2 linked regions of the Lonchura striata genome follow. The protein of the gene in region 2 purifies or fractionates together with the protein of the main gene of each other region. This does not show direct contact. Links are inferred from orthologs where the notes say so. Each region holds a gene or a part of one and is shown on either strand. Other genes may lie near its edges.

Region 1 (10,383 bases), on a different chromosome or scaffold from region 2:
GGCGTGCTTGCTGGGTTTCACTGGTCTCTGATACTCACGTGGTGCCAGACTGCAGAAAGGGAATGCGGACACCCTCCACCACCACCACATTCTTCACCCCAGTTTTGCCCAAGGTCTTCTTAGTCTTTGGCTGAACTGGGAAGAGAGAAGTGATGGTGACAAGAATATCAGCAATTTTCATATAGATCCTGCAAAGCTTCTAGAAAACAAAGGAAATTGTCCTTTTTTGGTGTGTAAGTGAAAGGCAGGGAAGGTAGGAATCCTGGAATCATGGAATGGTTTGGGTAGGAAGGGACCTCAAAGCTCATCCATTGCACCCCTGCCATGGACAGGGACACCTCCTGCTATCCCAGGTTGCTCCAAGCTCCATCCAACTGAGCCTGGAACACTTCCAGGGATGGGGCCTGTGCCTCATCATCCTCACAGCCAAGAATTTCTTCCTAATGGGAAGAAATTTCTTCCTAATGGGAAGAAATTCTCTCCCCAGTGGGAGAGGTTCAAAACAAGGGATGTCATGACCTGGCATCATTCCACAGGCCAGTGCCAGGACAAAACTCCAGCACTGTCTGGAGATTCCTTCAGGCTCTTCCCAAAGCCTGGCGATGATGGGGAGCTGCTGTCCAGGCCTGTTCCCAAAATCCCAAAGCATGAATCACCTGAGCAACCCCCACAGTGAACCCAGAGCGTGGATCACCCCAGCCACTCACTGTGGGCTGAGACTAAAAACTGGGAATGGTGCTGGGAGCTGGGGCAAACTGGGAACGGGCACTGGGAGCCAGGGGCAGACTGAGAATGGGCACTGGGAGCAGCCTGGGAATAGCACTGGGAGCTGGGGGCAGACTGGGAATGGCCCTGGGAGCTGGGGGCAGACTGGGAATGGCCCTGGGAGCTGGGGGCAGACTGGGAATGGCCCTGGGAGCACACTGGGAATGGCACTGGGAGCTGGGGGCAGACTGGGAATGGGCATGGGAGCAGACTAGGAATGGCACTGGGAGCAGACTAGGAATGGCACTGGGAGCTGGGGGCAGACTAGGAATGGGCATGGGAGCAGACTAGGAATGGCACTGGGAGCTGGGGGCAGACTAGGAATGGGCATGGAAGCAGACTAGGAATGGCACTGGGAGCTGGGGGCAGACTGGGAATGGGCACTGGGAGCAGACTAGGAATGGCACTGGGAGCAGACTGGGAATGGCACTGGGAGCTGGGGGCAGACTAGGAATGGGCATGGGAGCAGACTAGGAATGGCACTGGGAGCTGGGGGCAGACTGGGAATGGCACTGGGAGCTGGGGGCAGACTGGGAATGGCCACTGGGAGCAAACTGGGAATGGCACTGGGCGCCAGGGCACTCAGCAAATGAGAGGACTCTGCTGCAAATACTGCTTTGCCTGAAGTTTTCCTTGCTTGCAGCTTTTCAGGAACACCCGAACCACCCTGCATTCTGCACCATTTCTAAGATTTAAGTGGAACAAGACTGTGGGAAGTGGAGGCAGCTTCCAAAACACCCCTGTCTAGCACAGACCCACTGAGATTCTGGTGTTTCCTCCTTACCTGCAGCTTGGAACGGCGAGGAGCAGCTGAGTGATCGAGTAACTGGAAAACAAGAAAGGGGAAAAAATACCAGAAAAATGTCAGAAACAGTTCTAGTCTCTGCAAGAAGGGTTAGGAAAGCAGATAGTGTCACTCTAAGACACCTGAGCACCTGTGGGGTGTTGGGTGGTTTACTCTGTGCAGAAACCTGGTACACTTTCTGTTAACTGTTAACTCAAGACTCCTCCCCATATGATGCAGGAAGGGACAAACAAGGCAACAATGTAATTAGGATTAAAAAGTAAAAAATGTCAGTCTTTTAAAGGTGAGAACGGGTATAGATTCAGACCCCAGCATCCATTCCAAACCCAACACTTCAACCAGAGGTTTACGGCCACCAATAAAATCTAAAGATACTCACAGGCCCCAGCAGCCCAGGCTGAGGACACGGGGAGGTTCCGCAGGGCAGAGCTCAGCATGGAACTCATTTTGGGATCTAGGGAAAGGCTGGGCTCAGTCCAAGCTGCTGTGTCCAGAACAATCCCAAGGGAAGCGTCCTGCCTGCCTCACACAGAGCCAGCAAGGTGAGGGGCACACACTGCAAGGGCAGCAGCAGCACAGGGAATCACCTCCCACCACGCTTGTGCCTGTGAATAAACACCGCCCTGTGAGCTTCTCAATTCCCTCCCAGGAACTGCTCCTCCACTTCCCACTGGAAAATTGTCCCAGTGCCCAGGCAGCCCTGCTGCCAGCAGCACCTCCTGACACCAGCAGTGTCCTTGGCACCCCTGCCCCTCGTTGGCCCCTGGTGCCAGCCTGAGGATCCTGCTGTGCATCCCCACAGCAAACACAGCAAGTTCGCCCCCAAAAACCCCTCTGAAGCTCTCCCAAATCGGGTTTCCCTATAAACAAACCCTCATCTGCAGTTTATTGCCGAGATGGCCCTCACAGCTCCAGGACTTTGCTTGATCCATGTCAACATTCATCTCCCTCTGTCACACTTTGTGGGTTCAAATCCTGGCACTTTCTCTCCCAAGCACAGAGTTTTGCCATGGAGGGGCACAGGAACACCCACAGTCCCAAACCCAGCCCTCTGCAGTTCCCCATAACTCAGCACAAGCTGCCAGTCACCCCCTTTGACACCTCCCAGCTGCAGCTCCACACCTGGAATGTGACCCTTCCCAGCCCCAGGCTCCTCCTGCCAACAAAAATCCCAAAACCAGACCTTTCCAAAGCATCCTGCTCCTCCTCCACCTCTGCCAACCTCCCTCCCCACACCTGACTGAAGTTTTCCCCTAAATTTTCCCTGCCCAGCTGACAGAAGTTTCTCCCAGGTGTAACCTCCTCCTCCCTCCCACACTGCACAGCCATCTCCTCCCGGTGCACCCCCGTTCCTGCCCCTTCAAAACACCCCAAACTCCCTCATTTTTGGGAGCCAGTGCTCCCCTGGCACCCCAAGGGCTCAGCCCTGCCCACACAAATCGTCAAGACAAAGCTCCTTGCAGAGCCAGGATTTGCCTGGATTCCACAGCTCTGTGACCCTCACGGATCCCTTCCAACTCAGGATAATCCACAATTCCATGAACAGCCCCTGCTCCCTTCCTGTCCCCACACACCCCTGACACTTTCACACCGCAGCACCGCCACCTCCACCCCGGGACTCCCACCCCAAACACACCCGTGCTGCTCTCAGCCACCCCCAAACCCCCTCATCCACCCAGGGCCAACTCACGACCCCTGCTGTCCGCCCAGGACCAGCCCCTCAGTCCTTTCATCCATCCAGCACTGACCCCCTGGGACCTCCTCACCCTTTCCCAGCCCCCCTACCCCATCCATCAGGAATGAACCCACCAAAACTCCCCTCACTCCCATTCGGAACGAACTGCCCGACTCCCCAAACTTCCATCCAGAAAGAACCTCCAACTCCTGTCACGTCTCCCCATCCATCAGAACGAACCCCCCAACTTCCCTCACTTCCAACTGGAATGAACACCCAGACTCCTCTCACATCCAGAACGAACCCCTCAACTCCCCTCACTGCTCCCCGTCCATTCAGAATGATCCAGACTCGCCTCACTGCTCCTCGTCCATCCAAAAGGAAACCCCGAGTCCCCTCACGTCCACCCAGAACGAACCCCCCGCCTCCCCTCACTTCCATCGAGAACGAACCCCCCGACTCCCCTCACGTCCCCCCTCCATCTGCCCCCACCCCCGGCCTCCCTTCATCCCTCCCCGCCCGCTGAGGACAGACCCCCGACCCTCTGCTCCAGCCCGCACCGCGCCTGACCCCCACCCTCCTCCTCAGGACCGCCTCCCGACTGCTCCCACCCTCCCCGCGCTGCCGTCCACGCAGGACGGAGCCCCTGACCGCCCCGTGCGCTCCCGTCCCTTTCCGTCCGCTCACCTCCGCCCTCACCGCGCTCTGCCGCCGCCGCCGCTCCTCCACCCAGCGAGGACCCCGCGCCCCGCCACCCTCGGGCTGCCCGCGTCCGCCTGACCCGCACCTCTCCCTCTACCGCCGCCCCGCAGCCCGTCCCCGGCCTCTCCCGCAATCCGCTGCGGCCCGGCGCGGGTCGCACCCACCCGAGGCTCGGCGGAGAGCGGAGCGGGAGGCGGCGGCGGGGCGGCGGCGGCGGCGAAGCGCGCGGGCAGCGCGGCGGGCAGCGCGGGCGGGGCGCGGCGGGCGGGGCGTGCGCCGTCAGGCCCCCCCCCCCACCGGCGGCCTCTCCTCCCTCATTCGACCTCGGCGAAGATGGCGGCGGCGGTGCGAGCCATCGGCAGCCTCGGCCGCCTCCCGGCCGCCGCCAGGGCCGGCCCGACGCGGCACACCCCGCCCCGCGGTGAGCCAGGGCACGGCGGGGAGCGGGAGCGGCCGCACTGCGGGGGCCCCCGCCTGAGGGGAGCACCGGGGGATGGGGGCAGTGGGGGGTGAGGGACGGGAGGTGCCTGAGGGGGTATTGAGGGAAGGGGAGCGCTGGCGGGCAGGGGGGCAGTGAAGGGGCAGTGAAGGCTCGGGGGACGCTAAAGGAGCGAGGATTGGCGTGGGATGGGGCTCACTGAGGAGAAAGTTTTGGGGGGACGGTGAGGAGGCGCTGCAGGGGTGGCGCTGAGGGGGCGAGGGGCAGGGGGGCACTGAGAGCCGCGCTAAGTGGGCGAGGGCCGGGGTGACATTGAGGGGATGAGGAACAAGGGGTCCCAGAGAGGATTTCATGGTGCTGGGGCAGGAGTTGGGGGTGTCTGGGGGTCACAAAGGGTTCTTGAGGTGATGGCTGTGAGGAGTTCGCAGGAAGGCTGTGAGGGCCGGGACTGGGACAGGGGATCCCCGGGGCAGCTGTGGGGTGGGAGGTGTCCCCATGTGTGTCTGTGCCCCGTGTGAGGGGTTTGTCCCCAGAGTCACCCAAGGGGATCCCTGGCAGGTCCCAAACATCCCCCACCCCGAGGTTTGTCCCCTCCGTGTCCTGTGGTCTCTGGGGGTTGTGTGCCCCCATGGGGACATCCTGCTGTGCCAGTCCTTGCACAGGGACACGCTGTGGGAATCTCTGAGCAGTTCTTGGGGGGTCCCAGTGAGCTGGCACTGATGGGGGGACACACCCTCCAGTCAGATCCCTGCACATGAGCTGAGCCACGGGGAGAGAGTGTCCTTGTGCCCTGACACGTGTGCCTGTCCCCAGTGCCCCGAGTGGCTGCTTGGAAAGGAGAGGGTGTCCCCATGTCCTTGGCAGCCTGGGTGCTGTGGCTGCCCTCCAGGCAGGCAGGTGTATCCATGGGATCCCTGTCATCCCTGTGACCCCGTAGTCCCACTTGCCTGGGGGGAGGCTGTCTCCAGGTGCTCCATGATTTCTCAGCTGAGAGAATTGGGGATGTTCAGCCTTGGGAAAAGAATCATCCTCTGGGGAGAGCTCAGAGCCTGGAGGGCTCCAGGAGAGCTGCAGAGGGATTTGGGACAAGGAATGGAGGGACAGGACCCAGGGAATGGCTGTGTCCAGAGGGCAGGGCTGGATGGGAGATTGGGAATTAGGAATTGTTCCCTGTGAGGGTAGGGAGGGGCCGGGATGGAATTCCCAGAGCAGCTGGGGCTGCCCCTGGATAATCCCTGGCAGTGCCCAAGGCCAGGTTGGACACTGGGGTTTGGAGCCACCTGGAATAGTGGAAGGGGTCCCAGCCATGGCAGGGGTGGCACTGGATGAGCTTTAACATTCCTTCCCATCTAAACCATCCTGGGATTCAGTGATTCCATGATTTTGTGGGGGCATCTCCCTTGCCAGCTTGGGCAGGGCTGTGGCTCTCTCCTGCCTCTGCACGGATCTGGCTTGGTGCCTCCTGGCCACCGAGGCAGGGAGTCCCCAGGAGCCCTGGGAAGGCCAGAGGGCCTGGCTGGGAAGCTCTGGAAACCTCACATTTGAGCACTTTGAAGGGCCTCAGAGTCTGGTGTTGATGTTGACCCAAACTCCAGCTCTATTTCGTTTAAACCCAAACCTGAGCTCAGCAGTGCGGGGTTCAGAGCTGGACTCGGTGCTCTGAGAGCTCTTATCCAACAAGTCCATGGTTCTGGGATCATGGTGAGCAATTCCTGGTTCAGGGATTATGGTGAGCAATGCCTGGTTCTGGGATCATGGTGAGCAATCCCATGGTTCTGGGATCATGGTGAGCAATTCCTGGTTCTGGGATCATGGTGAACAATTCCTGGTTCTGGGATCAGGGTGAGCAATTCCTGGTTCTGGGATCATGGTGAGCAATCCTGGTTCTGGGATCATGGTGAGCAATTCCTGGTTCTGGGATCATGGTGAACAATCCCATGATTCTGGGATCCTGGTGAACAATTCCATGGTTCTGGGATCATGATGAACAATTCCTGGTTCTGGGATCATGGTGAGCAATTCCTGTTTCTGGGATCATGGTGAACAATCCCATGGTTCTGGGATCAGGGTGAGCAATTCCATGGTTCTGGGATCATGGTGGACAATTCCATGTTTCTGGGATCATAATGAACAATTCCTGGTTCTGGGATCATGGTGAGCAATTCCTGGTTCAGGGATTATGGTGAGCAATTCCTGGTTCTGGAATCATTGTTGTGGCGCGGCATGTGGCACAGCAGATCATGGTGAGCAATTCCTGGTTCTGGGATCATGGTGAGCAATTCCTGGTTCTGGGATCATGGTGAGCAATTCCTGGTTCTGGGATCATGGTGAACAATCCCATGGTTCTGGGATCGTGGTGAACAATCCCATGTTTCTGGGATCATAATGAACAATTCCTGGTTCTGGGATCATGGTGAACAATTCCTGGTTCTGGGATCGTGGTGAGCAATTCCTGGTTCTGGGATCATGGTGAGCAATTCCATGGCTCTGGGATCATGATGAGCAATTCCTGGTTCTGGGATCATGGTGAACAATCCCATGGTTCTGGGATCATGATGAACAATCCCACGTTTCTGGAATCATGGTGAGCAATCCCACAGTTCTGGGATCATGATGAACAATCCCATGTTTCTGGGATCATGGTGAGCAATCCCACGGTTCAGGGATCATGGTGAGCAATTCCTGGTTCTGGGATTATGGTGAACAATCCCACAGTTCTGGGATCATGATGAGCAATCCCATGTTTCCAGGATCATGGTGAGCAATCCCACGGTTCAGGGATCCTGGTGAGCAATTCCTGGTTCTGGGATCACAGCTGTGTTACGTGCAGCCTTGGAGCAGGTTTGTACGTGACAGGGAGCTGCAATCACTGAGGAGGAGACTTGTGGCAACTCCAGAGAGTTCTCAGGCTGCTGCTGGTTGGAATTCTTGTTCCAACTGGTGAAGCTCTCCACAACAAACAGCCCTGGAGCTGCTGTGAGGACACTACCACCGTTGCTAATGAATGAATACCCTCGTTCTGCCTTGCAAAGCTTGGGAAGTGCATGCAAAGCTCTCAGGGGCAGCCCAAAGGCAGGGAGCAGTCAGGAGCCAGGTGAGCTCCAGGGCTGGCTGTACCTGCTGGGCCACATCCGTGTGCCACCAGGTTCCCAGGGTGGCTTGGGAAGCTCAGTGTGCCGGGAGTTTCCCTTCTCACGGGTCACAGCTCCGTGCTCAGCTGGCAGGGACAGCTCAGGCAGCCTGAGCTCCGTGCTGCTGGGGCTTGGGCTGCTCCAGGACTGGAAAAAGGCTTTTCCCTGAGCCATGGAGGCAGTTCCCAGTTCAAGGCGTGTGCCACGTGCCGGTGAGTGGAAGGGTGGGAGCTGAGGTAGGAACAGGGAGAAGAGAAAGTGGGAAGGAGCAGGCTGGGCTGTGGGGTGGGTGTTGTCCATTCCCTGGTGCATCCAAAGTCCTGAGGGCACCTGGAGTGTTGGTGTCCTGGTGCTGGACAGTGTTTGAGCTGGAGTGAGCCTGGAACTGATTTTCAGGGCATTAACTCTGGAATCAGTGATGGGACACAGTGGAAGTCGGAATATGGGCTTCTGCTTCCTGCAGCATTTTGGAGGATTTTTCTGGCTTCAGTCTTGGCACGTTCCCATGGCAATGCTGAAGGGATCAACACCTAAAGCAGATGTGCAAGGACCAGGACAAGGACTTGTGCTTCCTAGCAAAAGATGTTTTCCACAAATATTCTAGACTTAAAATAAACCACTGTCAGGCTACAGAAAGCTCACTCCAGTGTTAACCAGCTGGTGCACTTCTGACAGCGCCTCTCCCAAAAGAATTTATATTCAAGTGGAGTGATATTTGTGCAGCCATGCCCTTGATTTTTTTTTTTCCTACTTCATCTCTTCTGTTTTGTGAGAATGGAAAGGGAGAGAGGAATTGAAGGCTGAAGGTTTTCATGGAAGGAATCTGAGAACTGGTGTGGGAAAGGAAAGCCATGTAAAGAACAAAAAATCTGGAATCCCAAACTGGTTTGGCTGGGAGGGATCTTAAAGCTCATCTTGTTCCACACCCCTGCCACAGGCAGGGACACCTTCCCCTATCCCAGCTTGCTGCAAGGATTGAATGAATGAATTCAGGGAGACAGTTCAGTCCTTGCTTTCTCTTTAAAGAGGTTGCATGGCTTTTATTGGGTTAAAATACTGCTGGTAAAGGTGGTGTTCTGCTGGGCAGCATCTCCCACCAGAGGAATTGTTGTCAGCCCCCACCTGGTTTGTGGGAATTCAATGTTTGTGCTTGTTTGCAGGAGTACACAACAAAGTATTTAGGGAAATTATTGCTGGATGGAGCTATCACATGTGGGTATTAAATATTGCTGAGGAGCTTTGGAGTGGGAACTGGTTCACTCTTTGTTTATAAAATGCTGCTGTGGGCACATGACACACACACACACACACACACACCCCAGAGCTGTTTGCTGGGACAGCCTGACTCTGAATTTCCATCCCCACGGCATCACACTGCATATCCTGGGCTCAGGAATGGGAGCAAAGGTCAGTCCCGACTGCCAGCACCCCAGACAAGGTGGAAAGGAGGCCAAAGTGCAGCCCTGAGCCCGTGTCACGGGGCTGTGGCGGGGGGAGACACCTCTTGGGGAGGCAGTTTATTCTCCTGGCCTTGGGTTATCCTCCCTGCTTGCTGCTGGGAATGGGAATGTTTCATTCCTGAGGGTTTTGTCAGTGCTGAGCAGAGCCCTCCCCTGCCTAATCGGCTGTGTGCTGGCTGGTAGATAGATCCATGTGGAGGTAACACTTTTCCTGGGATTCAGGCTTAAAGCAGCTTTGGCAGGGATTCAGCCTGCATCTGAGTTTGGGGATCCTCAAGCTTGAATGGAGCTGGGGTTCATTTGTGTGCTGAGAGATCGGGGGGCCCAAACAGAATTTCTGAGCAGGAAAAGGAGAGTCAAACCTGTGGGCAGAACTTGTTCATCTGGTGGTCTGGGGTTTCTGAGGGCTCTGGAAGAAGAGGTGCTTGTGTGCTTTGTGTGTCATTAGTGGAGCTGGATCCAAGAGCTGGAGAGGCACAAGGGCCTGGAGGCACAGGACAAGGAAGAACAGCTCCCCACCTGCAGAGCTGCCCCAGCCCTGGGGATTCCAGCAGCACAAGGACCTGGAGCTGCTGCAGAGAGCCCAGAGGAGCCCCCAGAGCTGCTGCAGGGCTGGAGCCAGGCTGGGAGAGCTGGGGGGGCTCACCTGGAGAGGAGAAGGATCCAGGGAGAGCTGGGGGGGCTCACCTGGAGAGGAGAAGGATCCAGGGAGAGCTGGGGGGGCTCACCTGGAGAGGAGAAGGATCCAGGCAGAGCTGGGGGGGCTCACCTGGAGAGGAGAAGGATCCAGGGAGAGCTGGGGGGGCTCACCTGGAGAGGAGAAGGATCCAGGGAGAGCTGGGGGGGCTCACCTGGAGAGGAGAAGGATCCAGGCAGAGCTCAGAGCCCCTGGCAGGGCCTGGAGGGGCTCCAGGAGAGCTCAGAGGGACTGGGGACAAGGATGGAGGGACAGGAGCCAGGGAATTTGGCTCCCAGTGCCAGTGGGCAGGGCTGGGTGGGAGATTGGGAATTGGGAATTGTTCCCTGGCAGGGTGGGCAGGCCCTGGCACAGGGTGCCCACCCTGGATCCCTGGCAGTGCCCAAGGCCAGGCTGAATGGAACTTGGAGCCACCTGGGATGGTGGAAGTTGTCCCTGCCCATGGCAGGTGTGGCACTAGATGGGGTCTGTGCTAGAAGGGCACTGCTGGATGCTGGTGGGGCACTGGGCAGGCCCTGAGGAGAGGGACTGGCTCCTGCCCAGGGTTCCCAAAAGCTGTCCAGCAGAGCTGGGAGAGACTGAGGCTGCTGAGAATTCCTTTAACACCTCTGGCATCTTCTCCTTAGGTTATGCCTGCCGTAACATCTCCACCTCCAGTGCCCTCCAGAGTAAGTGTGAAGCTTTTCTATAAATCCATTTTAAAATCCCT
Region 2 (10,290 bases):
AGTTGATCTTGAGAAATCCCTCTGCCCTGAGGAAATACAGCCCAAATGGAGTGACCACCCCAGAAAGCACTGGAGCACCCCTTTAGTCACGGGTACAGATCTTTCTTTGGGAAAGGAGGAGCCCCAGATTATGTGTCACACCACAGATGTATGCTTGTCCCACTTTGGAAGTGCCAGCAGCTGAAACACCCTCCAAGATGGGGTTCCAGTCCCCCTTCCAAGAGCTTGATCAAGTCCCAGCTGGTTGCCAGACCTGTTCTCTACTCAGATAACACTTCTCTAAAGGGCTCAAACACATACACTTGACAATGTTTTCATCATAAAACCTAATTATATAGCCTAAAAGGACTAAAAGGTTAAAACAGTTGCTCTGACTCCTTTCAGCTGCAGAGCCAGGGAAGGATCTGTGTGAGACGTGTCACTGGATGAGCAGCCTGGCAAAGTCCAGCTGGCTTTTTTCTGTACCCTCCTCTTCTCTGGCTGCCCTGCACCCACTGCCCGTGTCAACAAGATCAACCTAACACAAGCCACATCTAGTGGCTAGACGATTAGTCTCAGGAATAAACAAACCAAAGCAGAAGTTCAAACCAAACAGCGAACAAGGGCCAAGCACATTCACATCAAATCACAACCCTTAGGTCTTCTCCAGCCCATGAGGGAACTACCTGTGCTCGAGATACTGGGGAGCAGTCACCCACCCAACATCAGTAACCCCAAGACACTGCCACAAGTCAGAGAAAACGGGATACCCCCCTCACAGGGCAGTATTTCGTGGTGGTGAGGGCTCACTCTATCACAAGCCATGCTGTGAGCCTGAGGTAACCAGTCCCTAAGAGGGGCACTAAGAAGCACCCTAGAGCAGGGTATGCCTCCCCTTCACCACCAGAGCAGGGACCCGCAGTGGGATCCTGCAGGAATGTGAGACAGCAGGAACAGCTGCCACCTCCAGAAAACTCGAGAGGAAACGAAAACACTGGAAGCTCTCCAACTTACAATAAGGTTTCCCTTATTTTGTAGCAATCAGAGAAAGGGGGTGTGGGTCATCAAAAAGGAGAGTGGGAACGCTCTCCCAACACGCAGGAAAGCTGCGATCGAGCTAGTAGCACATCCCATGGGAGCAAGTGGTGTAACTTTCCCAAACTCAAGGAGTAGGGGGCTTTACCCCCAGCATTAGAAACTTTCTGGTAGGCAGATCTTCACCCAAGACTCTGGGTGCACAGCTGTCTGTCAGGATTGCTAACACGAGCAGACACTGCTATCGTGTTCGGGAATTTTGCCATTGACTTCAAAGTACTGAGATATAACACCTTGTGTACTCCCTAAACACACTTAATAACAGCACCTGACACATTTAAAGTGCTTAGACATGTTAAAGGCATTGTACAACATTAGCAAAAAACCAGGATACCCTGTCTAGGTGGTTCATGAGAAATCTGGTAAGCCAAGAGTCTATCCCTGCATCAGATGCTTATCTATTAGCCAGCTAATAACTGTGGGACTCTTCTCCAGCTGATCCATGCAGCCACAAGCAGGGACTACCTTCTGGTGAGCTGTGGAGACACTAGATTATTCATAATCCTCTTAAATCATAACTAAGAATACAGATTAGAAGGTGTAAAGCGTGCAGTGAGTGTTCTAAACCCAACACAAACACAGCCAATCTCAGTCTGAGTCAGAGCCTGCGTGCTGGGAGCTCACTGAACTCCTTCTGCAGGGCAGCTCTGGGGGTGCAGTGTGGGGTTTGGCTCCTGGGGCTGGGCTGCTGTGACACCAACACACCCCAAGCAGTGCCTGGAGCCAGGCACAGGCAGACAGGAGCAAGGTCAGCACCACTTTGGGGTCATAGGGCTAAGAAATTAATGTTCCCCTTTGCTTCAGGGCAAGCAGTGGAGGGAAGGAACAGCGAGGTCTCCTTAGAGAGGGACAATGGAAAGGGATTTTGTCTCTAGGCAGCTCAGAAATAAAATAAAAACATGATTCATGGGGCAGCTCTTAAAACATGAAGAAGGCCACCATCAGGAAACTTCAGCATAGTCCAATAGGAGACAACATTGATCTCAGTTCATCAACATCTCTTAACTAATCCAAAAGCTGCCCAACCACAGAATCACCAAAGTTGGAAGCCTGCACTATAATCTCATCCAGTCATCAACCCAGCACCACCATAACAGCCCCTTATCCACATCACTGAGTGATTACACCAGCTCAGCCTAATGCACATCACTGAGTGATTCCACCAGCTCAGCCTAATGCACAGCTACTCTTTCTGTGAACATTTCTTTCTAATATCTCATCTGACTTGCCCTGGCAACCTAAGACCCTTTCCTCTCCCTTCACTTGAGACACAGCAGAAGACACCTGCCCCTCCTCAGCTGTATGCCTGGGGATGCATTCACAGGTGTCAGTGGTGTCACCTGAGAAGGCTCCATTCAAGTGACAGCAAGCTGAACCACTGCCACTGAAACCAGCCTGAAACAACGAGCAAATGTGGAATTATAAACTGCATGGTCCTGTACTTGGTACACATAAGGATACTGCAAGGAGGCTCTTGAGATGCCTCTTCTTGGAGACAAGCAAAACTGGCACCAACCTTTGCATTAACCTGCACAGCTGCTAAAAAGCAAAGAGGATACAGAACACTGCTTTGTCAGGACGTTTCTAAGGTTATATCTACGCTCACTGATGTTTTAACTGCACTGGGCAAGTAACACACTGACACAAAAATGCATTCCTGAATGTGCATCGGTCAGGAGGTAATTACCAATGAAAATCATCTAGTCTGGCAGCTGTCTGAAACACTGGGCTAATGGTAGCAGCAGCGGCTCTATGTGTGGGACCTTCTTCCTCCAAGCACTTCTTCACATTACTTTCCATGCAGTATTCCTCAAGTTTTCATGGCATTTATCTACAGAGTTTCCCTGTCTGCAGTAACAGCCAGAGACTCCGGTTTGATACTCCAATTTTAACCACTGTGGCTTGTGACTGCCAGTGTGTATGCTCGTACCAACGCACAGCAGGAAACAGAACTCCTGCATCCTGGAAATCTGTGTCCTGACACTCCTGGAACCTCAACAATTTGCAGGTACAAGGTGTTTTACTGGCAGCTGACCTGCGATACGTGATCCTTTTAACCGCAGCTGCTGCGAGCCTCGGTGCTGCCCGTAGTACTATCCCTGTGCGCAGTGCTGCAGCCACCTCCAGCGTGTTTGTAAACATTCAGCCTTCCAAGAACTTCCCACTTGAAACACGACAGCTAATGTATTCACATCTGCAATAATGAGATGCAAACTCATAAAAAGCCGCTTTCTTGCTCAGCTGAAGTGCTATGCCATTAATAGTGATGTTCAAACGGTTCTGAAACTCCCCACTGTTTAACTTTGAGGGCTGCTCGTCTTACTTTGGAAATTTACTCTCAGTTGTAACTTGACAAAGAAGGCATTAATTTATTCGCATTTATGAGGGATGTATATGGTTCAGCCTTCTCCTTTCATTGGTCAGACAACAAATTGGTTTCTCTGAAAAATTACCTGATGAAATATTCAGCATAAGGCATTGTGTAGCTTAGATGTGCAGTACAAACTGCAGTTTTACTGGGGTGTCCCTGTGGGTTGGCTCTGGCACGTACGCCTGCATGTTTTATGCTTTGTCTGAAGGAGGAAGCTCCCACAAGTGAGGAGAAGGCTCTCGGATATGGGTCACAAGTTGGTGTATCAAAACTTTGATGAGAATTTTAGAAAACCCTACAATGCCTCAGCATATTTTCCCCAAGCCTTCAAAGAAAAAAACCCAAACCCACACAAACCAGACCTTGAATATTCCTTGCTATTTCAGTTGTTTCTACAAAGAGGAGGAAATCAACCAAGATTTATCTAAAGCCAGAATGAAAGCAAGAGGACACACTCTAGCGTAGGTTACACAGGTTTCCCCTGCACTTCACGTTTGACGCGGTCATTTTACTCCTGCTTCATTTTTATTAAGTAGCCAATATCATTTACACGTTTGCTTCCCATCCAGAAGAAGATTTAAATAGATCAATTCCTCTCTCACAACCTTGTGGCGCTTTCCACCTCTGACACCGAAACCCACTACACTCCGATTATTCCGATTTCCGAATCAAAACCCTGAAACCCGTTTCAGTTGTACTCAGCACAGAAGCAACGAGACAATGAGAAAAAAGAAAGAACCACCGCTGAACACTTGGCGCGACCAGCCCCCCTCGCAGCTCCGTTCGCATCGCCAGCGCCGGGGAGAGCCCCTCTGCGGGCAGGGCAGGGCTGCCGGCGGCGCTGAGAGCGGCAGGGCAGCCCGGCTCCGGGGAAACCTCCCCGCTCCGACTTCTGGCCGCCCACGAGCCGAGACAAACTCCAGCGTGGGGCGGCGAGCGCTCCCCAGCCCGCGGCTCCCAGCCGTGCCCGGGCATCTCCCGGCTGGCAGCGGCCCCGGCCCGGGCACCGCGCCCCCGGCGCCCCGCGGCACTCACCGGAGATCTCGGCCTGGGGCACGCCGCTGAGGCTGAAGCCCTTGGCTCCATACAGCTGCCGGACCTCGGCGCAGCTCCTCGCCTTGCTGCCGCTGTCACCGCGAGCCGGGGCGGAGGCGACACACAGCAGCCAAAATCCCCACGGGAAGACACGCATCCTTCTCCGCTGGCCCCGCCACCTGCCGAGCGAAGGGCAAAGCCAAGGTCCCGCGGCGCGGGGGCGGCCGGGTGCGGCCCCTCCGCGGGCAGCCCCGGCGGGACGGGCGGGCGAGGGCGGCGGGCGAGCCCGGCTGCCCGCGGCGTGCGGGGAAGGCAACGGCGAGTTCGGCCCCGGACGCCGCCGCGGCTCGGCCGAGGGGGGCAGAGATCCAAGTTCGGCCGCGCCGCTTCAGAGCCCTGGAGCGAGAGCGCGCTGAGGGCTTTTGTTCTTAGCGCGGCCGCATCCCCGGGCAGTCCCGCCGCGATGCTGCCGGCTGCGGCGCCGCCGGGCCGGGCGGAGCGCGGCGGGGCGGGGCGCGGGGCGGGCTGCGGGGCTGCTCCCGCGGCGGGGCCGGGCCGGGCTGGGCTGGGCTGTGCCGGCTCCGCTCCACCTGCGCGCCGAGCGGCGGCGGGGCGGCTCCGGGCGGGCAGGGCTTCCCCCGCCGGACGTGGCATCACGCGGCCCGCGCCAATCCCGCGCGGGGCGCAGCCCCCGCCCCGCCCCGCGCCCCCGCCGCGGGCGCTGCGCGGCGCCCGGAGCCGCCGGAGCGCCCCGAGCATCCCCGAGCATCCCCGGCATCCCCGAGCATCCCGGGCATCCCCGGCATCCCCGAGCATCCCCGGGCGGGCAGGGCGCGCACGGCGCTCCGGGGCCGCCCGCCGTCCTTGGGCAAGGACAGCGCGCAGCGAGCCCTTCTTTGTCTGCGGCGGGCCCCGGTGCTTTGCCCGGGGTTCCCCCAGCGGGGCGGGACAACGGCCGCGTAAAGACTTAAATCGTTCCACACTTAGAGCGGCGAGGAGAACGCAGTTCAGCTGAGAGCCGGAGAGTCCCAGCAAGGTCCTGGGAAGGCTGAAAGTGCCCCTTTAAGAGCAGATGTGGGAAGAGAGGCAAATGTCTACGACAAATTCTCAGCTTTGGAGTTTACTTCATCCAACAGCCTGCCAGCTCCCGAAGCTGGTGCTCTGCAGCTCTGCCAGCCGCGTTTTGAGCTGCTTCCCACAGAACTGAGACGTATGCGATCACCTGTGCGTCAAGGCAATGCCCGTGTGCTGCTCCAAATGAGCTTGCAGGCTTTTGGCCGGCGTCTGACTCTGTTCGCGACAGCCAGAAGACCCAGCGGTCGCTCCTGAGCCTTTGGAGAGCAGTTGTTCTCTGTGAAAAGGGGGAGGGAGTCTGCCCGTGCCTCAGCTGGAGCACTTGTGGGCTTAAACCTTACAAGATTGCAGAAATTGCACACAAACTCCATCACTGTGCCCCCCCAAAACGCAGCAACATTTAAGAGAGATCGTAGCTTTTGGACTAGGCAGTCACCCAGATGTGAGAAACTTCATGGGAAACTGGTGATGTTCATCCCATTGCTTCAGAACTGCTTATTATCCTGAGGAATGGGAGAAGTGACTGCAAAACAGGAGCCATGGGGAGTAGCAGGATGGCAGTAGGGGAAAGTTGCTGCTTTCCTATAAAATCACCGAATTATTTCCTCTTAAAACTTCCTAGATTCATCTATGAAAGCAGATGGAGAGGACAGGGAAAACCCCTGCAAAGACAGGGAGAATTTTGTAATGAAGATCATAACTGAGATGACACATCATTACCACCAAAAGTTAATAGCTTTGAGTCAGATACACCCATACAGTCCAAATCTTAATTCTCTTGCAGATGACATTGTGCCTTTTGGCCTCTTGTATCATCTCTTAGTTTAGAAACCCGAGGCTTACAGAGTCCCAAAATATGCCTCAGCTGGGAGCTTGCTGTGTGGGGAAAAATCTGCCATGGATGAAGCCTGACTTACCCTGTTTTTAAATGAAAACTCTTTTGTAAATGCAAAAGTACTGCACACTTAAGAGGTTACCAAGTAGGTTATGTGTCATGAGGTTATTTCAGCCCATACTCCTGGGGATTTATTTTCATTTTATAGCCATAGCCCTTTCCTCTCCCCAGGCTTTGAACATATCACTTGAAGATCCATGTCAGAAGTCTCATCTAACTAATCCGAGTACAACAACGGCAGAAAACAAGCAGCAGAGGAATCTGTACCTACACTGCCATGACTGGAGGAACACCTCCTCCTCTTGGAAAACCTGAGTGAAAATCAAATACTTGCAGACACACGGGTAACAACAGTGTCACTTGAGTCTGCTGAGGCGAACGAACTCCAGGAATGTGAACTCCAAAGACACAAAGTACTTGATAGAGAAGAAAGGCAGAGTCATAAACCTTTTATCTGGTCTGGCTGCACAGAATGACTTGGGGTGGGTGATACAGGAGACCAAAATAGCACCGAATTTCCTCTTTTCCTTCTCAAATCCTGGGATCGGCTACGTGTTGCCATTGAATACGTGTGGCATATACTTTCAGCTCTGCCTGTAGTGACTTTGGGTAAGCTCTCTGAGCTGTGGCTGCACCCCAAGGTTGCAGCACAAAGCTCTGTGGACTCACACAGCAGCTGGCAATGGAAGAGCTGGGACTGCAGCCCTTGGGCTCTGGCCTTGGAGCCATCCCCTGAGCTACAGATTTTTCACAGGCCCGAGTATTTCCCTTCTTGCCATACATCTCACTTCCCTGGCTGGGTGGCAGTGCCTGCAGCAGGGACTGGGGTCACGTCACTGCTGATAAAATCCTGGGAGTGCAGCACGCTCGCTGCTGTTCCCAGCTGAGACACCAGGCTGCCAGCCCAGCACAGCTCACACTGCCAGCTCCAGCTCTTCTCAGAACTACAGCTCAGCTACAAGCTCTGCTGTGAACCTCAGGCATTAAATGACCACCAGCAGGTCATTTAACTCCAAACAGGGCTAAGAGTGTTTTTTACCCAACCACCTGCCTTTGGGATGCTGACATACTATCATAATGAGAAGCTTATAAGTAGACAAATTTAAAATGAGCACAAGCTGATATGAGCTCTTCAACAGAAATCTGCAAGTCTGTGCAGGATCAAATCCTGCTCAAAGAAATCTTAAGTGGTGAGGCACGTCTCTTTTTGCTGTGAAGTTTGTATACACATGCAGGATTTGACCTAGGCACATTTTAAGTAAATTGAAATAAACATCCTCAAAGTGTCATGATGAAAATGTATTTTTGGCATCCATTATAAATTGGATTGTCTATATCTGAGGACCAGATCCAGTTTCTGAACATCCTCAGCTAAAAGAATGGAACTTGGCAAAAAGTAAACAAAAGATTGTCCAAAAACAGTCAGAAAGACCTAGAACTGGGAAAGATACGAAAAGGCAGAGTAAAACACAAAGATGAGTAGACAAAATGCAGAGGAGGCAAAAAGCACACAGCCAGCCAGCAAGATAGCCAAAGGAAGACAGAAAATCCATCCTGCTCTGGAGATCACCTCCTGACAGTCCCGACAAAAAGCACTGCCCACTGAAAAGCTGATCCAAGCATTATGGAGCAAGAAGGATGAAGAAGAGCCAAATCGTCTGGCACAAGTGGGGAAAGCTACCCTTTAAAACAAGAAGTGAACAGAGAGGCTTTCTACAACCTCAGTTTTCACAGAGACATCTTTGTTTCTCTAGCACTTTCCAAAATTTTTGCAATGCAGTGGACTTGCCTCTCTTTTTCACCTTGATGCAAGTCAAGAATTGTACAGGCAGCAATGCAATTACACCCACCAGACTTCCAGCTGGTTCCAAAATGGACCTCTGCTGAGTTACAGCAACCTGGAGTCTGACAGCAAAACCTAAACAGGAAAAAACCCAGAATTCAAAATTGCCCTGTATCTTTGGTGCCACATAAAAGAATAGTGCATTCTCTCTTGAATTCAGTGGTGTTTCTACTTTTTTCCCTATGCATCAAGTGCAAAGTTCACACAGCGTGGGGAGTGGGGAAGGAAAAGAGATGGGCAAAGCCTGACTGGGCTACAGGTTCCTCTCTCGTCCCAGCTTCACATAATGAAACCCTTTGCCCCTTTCCCTTACCAGTTTATGATACTTTTGATTCTCTGGCAGCATCAGCAAATCTGGCACCTTTAAATTAAAAATCTTCATCAAAGCAGGAATATCTCAGTACCTCTTCTGCCCAATTCCTTTAATCTCTGCAAGAGCAGTTTCCTGCAGAATTCATAAAAGCCCCTGCCTCCCCAACACTGAGTGGTGTTCAGCAGAAGCTGGACATGTGTTTTGCTGAATCAAATCTAATTAAGTTATTCAGAGGATTTACTAGATTACACCTTGCTATCTGCAGCTACTTACTTCTTCCCTGGCTCTCCCTTCACTGGAAATCCGGCATCTTCTCCTCCCCTCTGCTCACGTTCCCCCAGGAAGCTTCCCTGACATGCACAAACAGCACGTGTCAGGTTGTTTTGATCACCAAAAATATCAGATCAATCCCTTCAAACTGCTGGGGCATCTATGTACAACTGGCAAATCCAGCTTGATCTCAGTTGACTTTGTAAGACACCATTTGCCTTCCCAAAATACGAAGACCTTTTGGGATTTGTGTGCTCGGATTAATTCATCAGGGATAGCGTTCAGTAGATGTACAGAGCCTCAAGACCTTCCCAGGTCCTGAGGGAGCCAGACTGAGGCCCCAGGGCAGTGACAATCACAATTCTGGATGCTGAGGAGCAGAGGAAGAGGGGTTGCACAGAGGACAAGTGCAGCAGTGTATGCCAAGGCTGTGCCAAGCTGCTCTTTGACCTTTGGTGGAACAGACCAATTCCCTTCAAATGGAATTTTCATTTCCCCAGTGTGGCTCGTACTAGGAATATTAGGAACAACTGAGTAATTTCAGACAGAGAATCAGGCTAATGCAGGTAATTGCAACTCTGTGCTGTGTTTTGAAGTGAACCACACAATTTTACAGCAGCAACTTAAAGCAATGTATTGCTTAATGACCTCTTACCAATGACTCCACCCTGCCAGACTGTACTTGTGTTATATAAGAGTCAGAGATTTCCCAGTAGAAAGAAGTCTTAAAGGCCAAAAATGAAATAAATGCCATAAACTCGTTAGAGAAACTCCTGTTAATTGGGTCTGCCCCAGGAAGTACATTTATCCTTTCTGGGAACTTTCAGTAAAGCTTTTCCCACTCTCGAAAACATATGCAGCAATGAATAAAGAGTATCGACATGCACTTGAATCTGATTTATGTGTTATAAGCACAGCTTTAATAGTATGAAATGCCTCAAAATGGTCCCCAAAACTAGATGAAAAATCTGTCCTTTCAGCATGCCCCTATGGTGATGTGTAGAAGATTCCTTCCCACTTCCTGCAAAAGTTGCAAGTAGATGATTTCCTCTTATAATTCAAGAGGTTATGTCCTGAAGTTAACTGGTTTGAAAGAGATTTTTCAGGTGAAAACCGTCCCTCATTGTCATTGTCATCTGTCTGTGGCACTGAGCAGGAGCACACTCTGTTCCTGGGAATGCCAGCTCTACAGCCTGTTCCTGAGCACTGGTCCAAGGCAAATGGGTGAGGGATAAGCATCCCAGACTTCTTTGAGAAGAAAAACTCATTTTGATATCCCATATTAACACTTCCAAATTTCTTTATAAAGGAAAGGATGCTCTTGTTTCACTTGGAAACTGAAAGAGTCTCAATCAGGCTGTAATTAGCTTTATATTCCCCTCTCATATTGGGAAGAAACTAACAGAGTCCTCTTT

What was found.
Region 1: the proteins of GPC1 (region 2) and HADHB purify together in Homo sapiens (co-immunoprecipitation; 3 studies listed by BioGRID and IntAct, counting the BioPlex papers as one, with this or other methods). This does not show direct contact. The link is inferred for Lonchura striata from reciprocal best matches to the Homo sapiens genes GPC1 and HADHB.

Annotation. Positions count from the first base shown.
Region 1 is NC_134605.1:113,198,937-113,209,319, forward strand, and holds the start of HADHB (trifunctional enzyme subunit beta, mitochondrial), read right to left. Parts: upstream 4,014-10,383; 5' UTR 3,933-4,013; intron 3,924-3,932; exon of another isoform or gene 3,857-3,923; intron 2,176-3,856; 5' UTR 2,017-2,175; coding exon 1,950-2,016; intron 1,592-1,949; coding exon 1,550-1,591; intron 136-1,549; coding exon 39-135; intron 1-38. Other genes in the region: HADHA (trifunctional enzyme subunit alpha, mitochondrial), read left to right, coding at 4,281-4,368, 10,301-10,342. UniProt on the Homo sapiens protein: Mitochondrial trifunctional enzyme catalyzes the last three of the four reactions of the mitochondrial beta-oxidation pathway.
Region 2 is NC_134612.1:2,666,772-2,677,061, reverse strand, and holds the start of GPC1 (glypican-1), read right to left. Parts: upstream 4,751-10,290; 5' UTR 4,638-4,750; coding exon 4,481-4,637; intron 1-4,480. UniProt on the Homo sapiens protein: Cell surface proteoglycan that bears heparan sulfate. Binds, via the heparan sulfate side chains, alpha-4 (V) collagen and participates in Schwann cell myelination.